2 linked regions of the Caenorhabditis elegans genome follow. The protein of the gene in region 2 purifies or fractionates together with the protein of the main gene of each other region. This does not show direct contact. Each region holds a gene or a part of one and is shown on either strand. Other genes may lie near its edges.

Region 1 (4,436 bases), on a different chromosome or scaffold from region 2:
GATTTCCATGCATTTTTCGTTTTTTTTGTTATATTTTCCGTTCTTTGTAAGGATTTTTTCGCCGAAATTGATGAAATAAAGTGGAATTTAAAAATTGAACTATTTTTTAAACTAAAAACGTATTTTTAAACATAATTAGTGGAAAAAATGACGAAAAACATTTTTAGAAACACAAAAAACATTTAAAACGTTAAAATTCGCGTTTTGGTCCCCAATACCTAACGAGACCCAGCTTTTGGGGGCAGGACATTTGCATTTAGCCGTGGAGCACGCTTGCACCTCAATCTGACTATTCGCATTTTTTGCGTCTCCATAATAATGTTGGCCGTGAAAAAAACAGGTGGCCGAGTTTTCTTTTAAATTTCCCGGCCACGCTAGATTTAACTTGAAAAATAATTGAATTTTCAGACACGTCACAGTTGAAATATATTTGCTGATAACATTCTTCATGCTACTTTTAGGAATGTGCGGATTTTTAGCAATTGAAAATTTCGATCACATTATTGTAAGGCTGATTCGAAGAAATTAATTTTTTCTAATTTTAAATTTTCCAGAAATTTTGGCATCACTTAATTCACACGTCATGTCCAGAGAAGGAACCGTTGGATGATAGAAATTCAGATTTTGAATGAAAATAATTAAAAATCAAAAAAATCAGTTAATAAATTCGTACTTTATGTTTTATTAAAAATTCGAAAAGTCGAGAAGTATAACAAAATGCAGTAAAATGAGAAATATGTGATAAAAATTAATAAAACGTGGCGGGTGGCTAATTGAGTTTCAAATTGCTAGACTCTGCGTTTTTCTTGAAAATTTTCAGAATTTCCAGTCCATGCTCAGCCATCATTTCGGGACTCGACATTCCGGTGTCGTAGAGAGATTTTAGAAGAAATCTGGAAAAATTTAATAGGATTAAGCCGTATGTGTCGATTTACGCAAGTCGTGTACTCCTCGAGAAGAAGAAGAACACAGTTTTCGGCTAAAATTCTTGATTTGGAACTGTTTGAGCTAATTTTTTCTGTATTCGAGTTTAGAGCACCGTTTTGTAGTTACAGTAGTTTTCGTGACGGGACCCAAATTGGTTTAGCACCCGTCGAGCTGTATTCAAAATTCCTGCTGAAAATAGAAAAAGGATTTTTTAATCATGTTTTCTATACTTTTTTTGTTTTTTGAAGTTTTTTACAGCAAAAGAATTGGCGAAGATGGTTCAAAATAGATCAAAATATACCCAAAAGTTGTGAATTTTTAAAAATAAAATGCAAACTTCTCTTCGAGGAGTACACTTTTTATGTTGGGAATTTTCCTCACGTCAGAACATTTTTCTTATCACCAGGTGTGCATTGGATATTCTTATCAGCCAATACTAATTTATCATGAACACTTTGAGATGGCTGAGCGACGGTTGGACGGAGACAGAATGTCGTTCGGAAATTTATCATTGGACGGTAGAACTCTAATGCACTGAAAAAATTATTATTTTCATTTCATTATTTTCAATTTTCCAGCCGTACTCTGCATAAATCCATTTTCTCAGATTGGCGGCGTTCACCGCTGATACGAAATAATCTCTTTTACTCTTCCAGATTTGTTTACGCCGAGCCAATGGATACTCTTCATCTATTCCAAGTTCCAAGTCGAGTTGATCCCAAGCACGGCGAGACAAATTCGAATTCCGATGACAAATCAGGCGTTGATCCCATAGGACTAAAAAGGGAAATTTTTGGAAAAACTTCTTGATTTCCTGACTTACTAGGCCTTTTCCGAACTGCATATATAATATCGTACACTTTTTCAGGCTCCGCGTAATCGATTTTTGTAGATTGGCGGACCCGATTGTACTTAAAATACTTGTCTGAGCGTGTTTGCACAGTCAAATCACTGAAAAAAGGATAAAAAAGAAATCTGATAATAAATGTTTTAATTCATACTTTCCATCATTCTTGAGCATATCGGCTGTAATTGAAGGAATGTACATCGAATTGTTGGATGCTCGATAATAAACTGTTTCGGGAATAATTCCGGCATCAGTTTTCGCTTTTAATTCTTCGTAATTTGTCTGAAATCTTTGAATAGAATTGAAACGAATATTATAAAAAGCTGTACCGGAATATTGCGACAAGATCTTCTAGTTGGTCCAAGACGAAGTTTCTTCGATTCGCTGGCGCTCTGAAAAAATGTTTGATTTGTCATCATTTTTTCTAGTTTTCAGTGAAACTTTTGTCATCATTTATTAGTTTTTTCTTGTGCCTGATTGAATTGATTGAAACTACATATAAATAATCACTATTTTAATTTTATTGCCCACTCGCGCTCTTTTTGGTTTTTTTCTAATAAAATTGTCTTTCTTCTCTGCGCACTCCACTATTGACCAAATCAGTGTTTCTTTCTATTTGTCATTGCCCCGACACTGCGAAGAACGTTCGCGATTGTTCTTTGTCTTTTTTACCTCTCTTAATTCCTCCGTTGTAATTGATTTCAAGTCGTCATCGAGTTGTTGAAAATCGGCAAACACTTTTCGCTTCACTATTCGGCCGCTTCGAGATTTTTCAACTTCTGAAAAATTGAGAGATTCATATAGACCATTTTTCAACATTTACCTGTCATTTTTTATTCCAGCGTGCGAATCCGTTTGGAAAATTGAGCGGAATTTTTAATTTCCAAAAAAACTTCTAAATTTCAAATTTTAAACTCTTCGCGCGCTGAAAAAGGGGCGGAGTTTTCAATTCGCAAAATGGGCGCGAGCTATTTGCAACTTGGGCGCACAATTTAGTCCTTGATGTTTGTTTATTTTTTGCTGATCAAATGTCTAAAAACTTCTGTGAACCCTTCTGAATGCTCCGATTTCGCTGCATTTTGAGCACTTCGAGGTATTAAATTGTTACTTTTTGGTTTAAAAAAAGTTTTTGTAGTCTTTGTGGAGTCAAATTTCCATAAAACCTCTCGAATTTCGGAAGAAGGGCGGTCACATGTTTGTAGTCGCGCTTTGCTATCTTTGTAATTTGTCATCGTTTTTGCGTCAGTCGATTTTGAGTATTTCATTCGAAAAATAAACTTTAAAGTCCACTTCGCGACTGAAAAGAAATAAAGCTTTGATTTTTCTGCGAATTTTCAATCGCGCCTCTCTTTCGATGTTCTTACAAGTTCTGTTATTTTCCAACTTTTAATTATTAAAATTCGAGTTCCAGGTCGATCATGTCTGGCGTCAAGGAGTTCGACTATTTGGTGATTGGTGGAGGATCTGGAGGTATCGCTTCTGCTCGGCGTGCTCGTGAATTCGGAGTTTCCGTCGGGCTCATCGAATCTGGACGTCTCGGAGGAACTTGCGTCAATGTTGGATGTGTTCCGAAGAAAGTTATGTACAATTGCTCTCTCCACGCCGAATTCATCCGGGACCACGCTGATTACGGATTTGATGTGACGCTTAACAAGTTTGATTGGAAGTGAGTAATTTTTAATTAGTTTAATCAAATAATTCTTAATTGTTTTGTTTTTTAGAGTGATCAAAAAATCGCGAGATGAGTACATCAAACGACTCAATGGTCTTTATGAGAGTGGACTGAAAGGATCCTCAGTCGAATATATTCGAGGACGTGCAACTTTTGCAGAAGACGGAACTGTTGAGGTCAACGGAGCGAAGTATCGTGGAAAGAACACGCTCATCGCTGTTGGAGGAAAGCCAACCATTCCAAACATCAAAGGAGCCGAACACGGTATTGATTCCGACGGATTCTTCGATCTCGAAGATCTGCCAAGCCGGACCGTTGTCGTTGGAGCTGGTTATATTGCCGTAGAGATTGCTGGAGTTCTCGCAAATCTTGGTTCAGACACGCATCTTCTTATTCGTTACGATAAGGTACCATGAGGAACATGGAAACTTTTCAAGTTTAACTAAATAATTTTCAGGTTCTCCGCACATTTGACAAAATGCTCAGCGATGAACTTACTGCTGATATGGACGAGGAAACGAATCCACTTCACTTGCACAAAAATACTCAAGTCACAGAAGTAATCAAAGGAGATGATGGTCTTTTGACAATCAAGACAACGACTGGAGTCATCGAAAAGGTTCAGACTTTGATTTGGGCCATCGGAAGAGATCCACTGACAAAAGAGCTTAATCTGGAACGTGTTGGAGTGAAAACCGACAAATCTGGGCATATTATTGTCGATGAGTACCAGAACACATCTGCTCCAGGAATTTTGTCTGTTGGAGATGATACTGGAAAGTTCCTTCTCACACCAGTCGCAATTGCTGCCGGACGTCGACTCTCTCATCGTCTGTTCAATGGTGAAACTGATAATAAGTTGACTTATGAGAACATTGCCACAGTGGTTTTCAGTCATCCACTTATTGGAACCGTCGGACTCACGGAAGGTATAATATCTTTAAAATTTAATTCTTTGTGTCAAATTTAATCCCCAAAATTTCAGCTGAG
Region 2 (7,935 bases):
CCTCTCATGTGGATGTCTGCAACTCGCTTCTTCTGAAAACCCAATAGAAAACCCGAATATCAAAAAAGCAGAAAATAGGAGCATTGTGACGGGGGGAAACTGCAGCACTTCTTGCGGTTATTCAGTTTTCGATAAAATTCGTATGACATTTTATTTTATTTTTCAACCCGGCTGATAAGATAAGAGCTTGTGCCTACACGCCCAAAGGTCCACAGACGTCATTTTTTGGATAAGGTCATTTTAGGTCTGTGTTTCGATGACATTTTCCATTATCAATTTTTTTCATTTCAAATTTCAACCTGGAATTATTTATTCATTTTTTTGTAATTATATAAATATGGGAAAATGGTGAGAATTATCAGGTAGGATGGTCGGAAAATGTAAAGTTCCAATTATAAGTTATGAAGATTTTTTTTAAATGACGATGTTTGTATAACGTAAAGAAGTTTAAAAAATAGGAAAGCTGAACGAGTTATTTCTGTGATTAATAGGCAAACTACAAAAGGACCAAAAAGGGTGTACCATCAGAAAAAGCAACAAAAAGGTTCAATTGGTAGGGACAGTATGTATAGTTATCAAAAATAAGGAAAGTTATCATTTTGAAATTTTATAGATTTCAGAGCTGAGTAGCTAAACTCCTTCCACATTCTGAATGTAGTTTGTAGTCGAGGCGTCACCAACTCGATCCTCCAACCAGAATGTCCTGCAAGTGCCCTTTCCTTTCACTTGAACCTCTCCTCTTTCAGTCGTTGTAAACACCGGATGATGAGCTCTAATGTGCATATGAGCCTCCTCACTCATTTGGATCATTCCAGGCGTTCCAGTTGATTCCATTCTTGACGAAACATTGACAGTATCACCGAAGAGACAATATCTTGGACACGTCAACCCGACGACTCCGGCGGCGACGGATCCTGTATGGAATCCCCAGCGACAACGGACACGATGGGTTGGACGATGTGGAATTTGATATCCGGTTAGGTACTGACGCATGTCTAGTGCAGTATTCGCAATGTTCCTCGAATGATTATATTCATTTTCTTCAGGGATCCCAGATACAACCATATAAGCGTCTCCGATAGTTTCCACTTTGTAACTCTTATTCCGAGTTATACATTCATCAAATCCAGTGTACAGCCCATTAAGCATATTGACAACTTCCAGTGGAGTTGAGCCGGAGCATATTGTAGTGAATCCGACAATATCTGAGAATAGAATTGTCGCCGATGAATAAAGCTTCGGAGCAACAGATCTTCCCATTTTCAGCTCATTTGCCACGTAGGCTGGTAGGAGTTGGGTGAGGAGTTGGTCAGCACGGATGTTGGCTTCTTCTAACATTCCAGTTCTTTCAGCGACAAGCTTCTCCAGATTGTTTGCGTATTGTTCCATCATCTTCATCATTTGATCAACGAGACTTCCTTTTCTGAAAACTGTTCTTTTCCCTATATTAAATGAATTCCAAATAGTCTCACGTTTTCAAGACCATCTCCGTATTCAGTCGAACTCGTCGAATCGACGGCCGAATCTCTGGATTCTCACTCCAGCAATCCCTCAGCAGAGCGTTCAGATCTGGATGGAGTCCCATTTGGTTTTGAATCTCCGGTGACACGGTTTTCGATCCGTCTGCTAGATAGTCGACAAGTTCTGAAAAAAATAAATAAGCTTTTTTTTATTTAGCAAACAAAATTTCCATACCACTGATGTTTGTATTATCCCGGAAGGGCAAACTTCTGAATAGAATCTCATACATGACCATCCCGAACGAATAAATATCTCCGGCTTGTCTTCTCAGCATTGATTGCTTCACCCAACTTTGATCCATTCCTCTTCTCTTGTTTGTTTCTCGATTTTTCAGAAGTTCAGGAGCCATATAGATTATTGCTGAAAATGCTTGATTTTCCCCCAGTTTCTCTAACAGAAAACTCACAAGTTGCCTGCGATGCTTGACTCTTATCGTCCGAATCTTTTGCAGCAGCAATCTCAATAGCCCCTTGCTTTTCCCATCGTTCCAGTGGATTAGCGATACCGTAATCCGACAGCTTAACCATCCAGTTTCGATCAATCAAGCAACACCATGGTGTAAGGGATCCGTGATAGCCGATAGGCGACGCGTGAAGATACTCCAAACCCTGAGAACATCCGACATTTCTGAACTTGTCGTTGTAATCTCATATTGTTAACTTTAACCTCACAACATGAACGTTTCGTTACTTTTGATAACACCAGTAGGCATTAATCAGGTGCAAACCCTTGAGATGTTACCTACCAAGTGCCTAACTTACCAAAGTAATATCCCTAACAAAAGCTCCATGGAACTTCTCATCAAGTACTACATTTGCATTGTAGATTATATCCTGAATCGTTCCTCTGCTACAAAACTTCCACAAAACCAACATTTCCTCTTTCTCATTAAAAGCAGCTCCAAGGAATGGATTCAAATTGTCATGAACCGCTTGTTTCATTTGTGTCAGCAACTGCATGTCCTCTTTTATAAACTTGATGGGTCTTCTTTGTTTGTAACGATGATAGGTGGTGTGGGTGTTCACACCAATTATTGCATGCTGCTTTTGACCTGTCTGTATATTGCTCAACTTGGTAGTCACTGAGCCAACTGACATCATTGATTTGACTTGCTCCTCGTCGATGAACTGCAGATCGTCGTGGAAAATTCGCCAAGGCATCTTTTCAAGTTGCTTGTTTTCGCTTAAATGTTAGGTATGTAGGCAGGTAGGAAGGAGGTAGGCATTGCGTTTTTCTGTTGTTCTTTTCAAGTTTGAAAATACCTAATTAAAGCAGCCGACACCTTGCGACTTAGTTCTCGCCCTAAAAAATTTAAAAGGTCAAAACCCAACCCGTAAGATGTCAGCTGCTCTAATTTTTCAAAGTAAAATTCATGAATTTTCATCTTTTGAAGATTTTTAGCTAGAAATATTTAAAAGCTCACCAGTATCTAAACAAGAAGAAAAACACAACTGATATTAAAATTAAAAGAATGATAAGTGATCCAACACTGATTTCCAGTAGGTAACTGCATCTGAAAATTGAAAATATTTAGATTTTTTTTTTTTTTTAAATCTAGACAACCTCTGTCCTCGATATCCGCAAATTGGCTCATCAAGTGGCATTGAGCCATCCTCGCTTGGCCAGAACCCCGATTTGATGTCGTTGATTTTCTGAAAATCTTTAATTGTAGAACATCCCAGAAATGTTCTGACTCACCAGTTGGAAACATCCACTTTTATTCTTCAATCCATCACAGTTGGATATTAACTCGCTTTCCATATTCACCATTTTCATGACTTTATCCCGATTTGGAGATATATAGAATGCTGAGAAGATTGGTGCCCGATCTGCTACGTCATCCATGAGCACTGTGCCAATTGCTCCTGCGTCTTTATTCTCCTCAGAGCTGGATCTGCTCACAACTCCTGAATTTATAATTTGAGATGCAAAATATTTAGGTTTTTATGAACTGGGAAGACGAAGGGGTTCCTATACGGAAAATCTAGCGCGGGGTAGAATTTGCGGGCGAAAGTTGACCTGTTGCGGCAAAATGCTGGCAATGCTTGGGAGAAAGCTGACAATGTAGGGCAGAGATATGTCAATGCAAGGCAGGTGGCTTGTAAGTGCGGCAGAAAGCTGGCGATAAAATCCCAACGGAAACTACAAACACAAAGTAAAATTACCTTCAAATTTCATTCGTCTCATTCTATTCCAAATAAATTGTCCATTAGTCACATAAGCCTCATTATCAGTTTCATTCAACACTTTCCGAATTGCCAATGCATAAAGTTTTAGAGAATCAAACAAGTGAAGATATCCATTAATATTAGTCTGAAATTAACTTATTTCTCTGAAACTCTATTAGACATACCACATCAATATCAGATTTCTGCATTCCATGTTTCTCAATCTTCTCGACAAAAGAGCTAACAACACTATCATCAAATCCATTGACGTCATCAACTATAATAGCATTCGCATAATGATCCTTAACTCTTTGGAGCATTTCCCCATCTGCTCCAATCCACGGCGTCAAATCTTTCGTTCCACTTTGCAACCATGGAATTATATAGGCATACTCTGCATTATTCATTCTCATTGTGTACGTAGCTTGCATAAACTCTTTGGATAGTTCTTTTGTAGATGAGAAGAGGCAAATTATTACTGGAAAGTATTAGAGATCAGAGGTAATTAAACTGCTGAAACAAACTTCTCGCGTTAGCGGCCAAATCTCCGAGTTGCCCGGAATTCATCATTTCGTTTGCATCAGTGTTCTCATCAAACATTACTTTTTTGACTATAGTCACACCTTCCCTGTGCATGATTTCTTCGAAAATTGAGACTCTTTCAAAAGCTGTGCTTCCGGTGTTTGTAGCGATAGCCACCTGCAATTTTTTTGGAGTATTGCGGAACACACTAGGTTATTGGCACTTGAACCAGGTATTTGGAATCATAAAACAGCTGGAATTTGTTTTCAGCAAAAAGGCTTGTAAATGCAAAATTTTAATCTTAAACTTTAGTGAATAAACTGAACACACAAAAATGCCACAATAAATATTTTCCCCATATGATTTCAATTCCAAGGTTTCAGATGAAAAATTGTTTAGCAGAAATAATTTAAGGCTTTTGACGCCCAAGATGTCAAGAATGTGAAATTAAATCTGGATACCTTTAGCCACTTGTAGTGTAGAAGCAAGGCGACTGTCGCTTCTGCTATAGAATTTGTGTTTTTCGACGAAACTCTTGCCAATGTTTTGTAGACACTACGATCTGAAATGTTTGAATTTCAACAATTAACTAATTTAAATTGATTAATCTAATAAAGGTCTAATAAAGTTTCGATTATGCCAGGTCCCTAGCCCGAGTTTAAACAGTGAAATGCATAAATAAATCGCACGGATTATAAGGTCTCGTCACGAGGTTTTGTGGCAAGACCCAACAGAATTAATTCGTACGGCTTTCAGTGCGCGTTTCAGAAGTTTTCAAAATTGATATAATTAAGTTAAAGGTGGAGTACTGAAATCTGAGACTAGTTGAAAATAATAATTGAAGTTGGAAAAATTGTGATTTTAGCTAAAAAGAGCTTTATTTTCCTAAACTTTGAACCGCCATAACTTTTTTTTGAGAAAATTTCAAAAGGTCTCGTGTAGAATTTCGGTAGTTTTGGGTCATTTTGGGTATAAAAAAGCAAAGTCTCAAATTTCGGTACTCTACATTACTCCACGGTACATAACTTGAAACGACTCATAAATTCGAAAACAATAGGGTTTACATAAAATGGTTCACAAGAGTATATCGACATGTCACGTGATGCCATGGCTGTCCCATTAAGATTTGATCTACAAAAAATGCGGGAATTTTTTGTCCATAAAAATGTGACGTCAGCACGTTCTTAACCATGCAAAACCAGATGAGAACTCTGCGTCTCTTCTCCCGCATTTTTTGTAGATCTACGTAGATCAAGCCGAAATGAGACACTCTGACACCACGTGATATGTTTAAAATTACCTGAAACAGCATTTGGAACACTAGAATAAGAGATAATTGGAATATTCCAGAAAGTTGCCATTTTTGTCACAGCTTCGAGCTCTGAAAAACCACTCAATTAAGCCACCAATCAACAGCTTGCCAAGTGGAAACCTGCTGCACAGTACGGTCCAATAAAGGCTCTGACCTGATGAACATGATATAGTTCTGCAGCGACTGCAACTCCCTCAAAACTCTCACTGCAAGCCTGTCGTGACACTATCCTAAATCGCACAAAAGATCAGTAGTGCAAGTTGTGTTTTTTTTTCAATAATTTTGTTGTCTTATACTCTTCTAAACCTACTCAAATTCAATATCATCGCCGACAAGACCCTCTTCGATCAGATTTTCCTTGCTAATATTCAAAATTCGAGCATCATTCGGCATCACCCCGACAGCTCCGATATGACCAATCTTAATGACGCGTTTGTGCTCTTTATTGACCTCCAGTTTGGCGCCATTGTCGAATTGAGTGTACGACGATTTTTCACCGTTTTCTTTGATATCCGGGATTTCTTCAATGGCAATAATGGGAATATTAAAGAAAATTAGAATAAAAAGCAACGTTTTTAGCATTTTCTGATGCTCCGACTGCAAAGTAGCTGCGAAATATCTATTTCTTCCAACTGAGCTCTTCCACGTTGCCGCTTCACTTGAAATCTGATTTGAGCTGCTTAAATTTAAGATTAACTACTGTGTCTACTCAAAATACGTCAGTACTAGATTATCCATCCGTACAATATGCATTAGTTTGATTAGTTTTTCCGAAGGATTTTCATGTGTTACGTACTACTATTACTTATATTTACTTATAAAATTCGTTCTTATTAACAAAACAGAGAAAACAATAGAAACCCGGAGATAAAAAACATTTTAAAAAGATGAAAAACAGTGAACATTTTTTGGCTATGAACATATTTGGAAGGAATGACATGGAAACAAGAAGAAGGGGGTTTGATATTATAGATTTGTGATTAAAATTTTTAAATATTATGGAAACGCAGAAAAATGAGAGCTTTGAAATTGAGGTGCAAGCGCGCTCCAATGGCAAACTTTGAGTCCCGTTTTTTCGGTGATTTTCCATTGTTTTTATAAGATTTTTTGTCAAAAAAGGTTTTTCATCAATTTCAACGGGAAAATAGTACAAAGACGAAAAATTGGTTGAAATCGGCGAAAATGATGGAAAACGTTAGAATTGCTGGTTTTGTCGCCAATACCTAACGAGACCCAACGTTTAAAGGCGGATCGTTCTCATTTAGCAGTGGAGCTCAGTTGCATCGATTTCAACAAGCGCATTTTTCTGCGTTCCCATAATAAAACATTTCTAAGAGATGAAATTTATGATTTGCTGCTCTCGACCACAGGCTGCAACTCGACTTCTTTCGGCGCATCGGTTGGCAGGGCTTGATGAGAGGCTCTGCAAAAAAAAACATGAATTTTCCACTTCAATACCCGAATTACTCACTTGTACGGGTACATGCTATAGGCGAAGACGGCTGCGATAACACCAGAAGCTCCGACGAGGAAGAGAATCGATGGACGGAAGTTGAACAGGAAGTAAGCAGCGATACAGTTGAGAACGATGGCAAGTGATGTTGCAAATGCCTTGAGAATATTATCAGCATACTTGATGACGACTGCAACAACGAGTCCTCCGAATGCGTTGATGGCTACAGTAACCCAGACTGCCCAGTCGAATCCTTGAAGCATGTTATTCCAGATTTCGATTGGGTTCGGGCCGTCTTGGTAGAGGCTTGAATTGTCTTTTACCTGGAAAATTGGATGTGAGAAAGCGAGAATAACTTTAATTTTTTTTAAATTTTAATTAATGGTCAAAATGTTCATTGACAGTTTCAATGTTAAATTTAAAATTTTTTTGTAATAGTACTTTTTTGGTTTTTTTTGGTCCCAAGAAAAACGGAACTTTTTGAAGAAATTATCTTGAAAATCATTCAAATAAAAAATAATTTTTTTTAATGCAAAAAATTAAATTTTTTACTAAAAAATTGATTTGAAATAAACTTTAAAAATATAAAAATCGTGATATTTGATGATTTTCAGCTTTTTTTAAAGCTTTTTCTCGCATTTTTTCAGGCTTCCCCGGCCATTTTGAGCATAATTCTGCAAATCCGTACCGATGCAAAGAGAAAAGCGAAGAAAATCGATGGGAACGCCAGCTGGATATTTCTGATCCAAATCGACACATTTGAACCTGAAATTGTTCATTTTTTAGGTTTTTTTTTCATTTTCAGAGAAATCGAAAAATTAAAATTTTAATGGGGTTATTCATGTGATGACGAAAAATGCAAAAATGTATTTTTATGCATTTTCCCCTATACATGTGTGCAGAAAAATGTTAAAAAACACATGAATTTTTTGCATTTTCGACATTTCTGTATTTTTCTA

The links.
Region 1: the proteins of gcy-18 (region 2) and madf-8 fractionate together in Caenorhabditis elegans (co-fractionation; one large-scale study listed by BioGRID). This does not show direct contact.

Annotation. Positions count from the first base shown.
Region 1 is NC_003281.10:3,648,144-3,652,579, forward strand, and holds madf-8 (MADF domain-containing protein), read right to left. Parts: upstream 2,690-4,436; 5' UTR 2,605-2,689; coding exon 2,598-2,604; intron 2,554-2,597; coding exon 2,447-2,553; intron 2,167-2,446; coding exon 2,104-2,166; intron 2,057-2,103; coding exon 1,929-2,056; intron 1,879-1,928; coding exon 1,751-1,878; intron 1,705-1,750; coding exon 1,512-1,704; intron 1,462-1,511; coding exon 1,309-1,461; intron 894-1,308; coding exon 770-893; 3' UTR 649-769; downstream 1-648. Other genes in the region: Putative potassium channel regulatory protein unc-93, read left to right, coding at 409-505, 555-632; gsr-1 (Glutathione reductase, mitochondrial), read left to right, coding at 2,833-2,867, 3,186-3,440, 3,496-3,853, 3,904-4,375, 4,432-4,436.
Region 2 is NC_003282.8:12,858,307-12,866,241, reverse strand, and holds gcy-18 (Receptor-type guanylate cyclase gcy-18), read right to left. Parts: upstream 6,146-7,935; 5' UTR 6,106-6,145; coding exon 5,834-6,105; intron 5,754-5,833; coding exon 5,644-5,753; intron 5,593-5,643; coding exon 5,512-5,592; intron 4,774-5,511; coding exon 4,673-4,773; intron 4,389-4,672; coding exon 4,214-4,388; intron 4,168-4,213; coding exon 3,875-4,167; intron 3,835-3,874; coding exon 3,687-3,834; intron 3,429-3,686; coding exon 3,220-3,428; intron 3,174-3,219; coding exon 3,085-3,173; intron 3,035-3,084; coding exon 2,945-3,034; intron 2,704-2,944; coding exon 2,283-2,703; intron 2,130-2,282; coding exon 1,928-2,129; intron 1,882-1,927; coding exon 1,696-1,881; intron 1,645-1,695; coding exon 1,473-1,644; intron 1,424-1,472; coding exon 631-1,423; 3' UTR 286-630; downstream 1-285. Other genes in the region: clec-186 (C-type lectin domain-containing protein), read right to left, coding at 1-84; nstp-5 (UDP-galactose transporter), read right to left, coding at 6,868-6,946, 6,995-7,299, 7,665-7,741. UniProt on the Caenorhabditis elegans protein: Guanylate cyclase involved in the production of the second messenger cGMP. Regulates thermotaxis responses in AFD sensory neurons. May regulate AFD neuronal activity such as calcium responses to temperature gradients.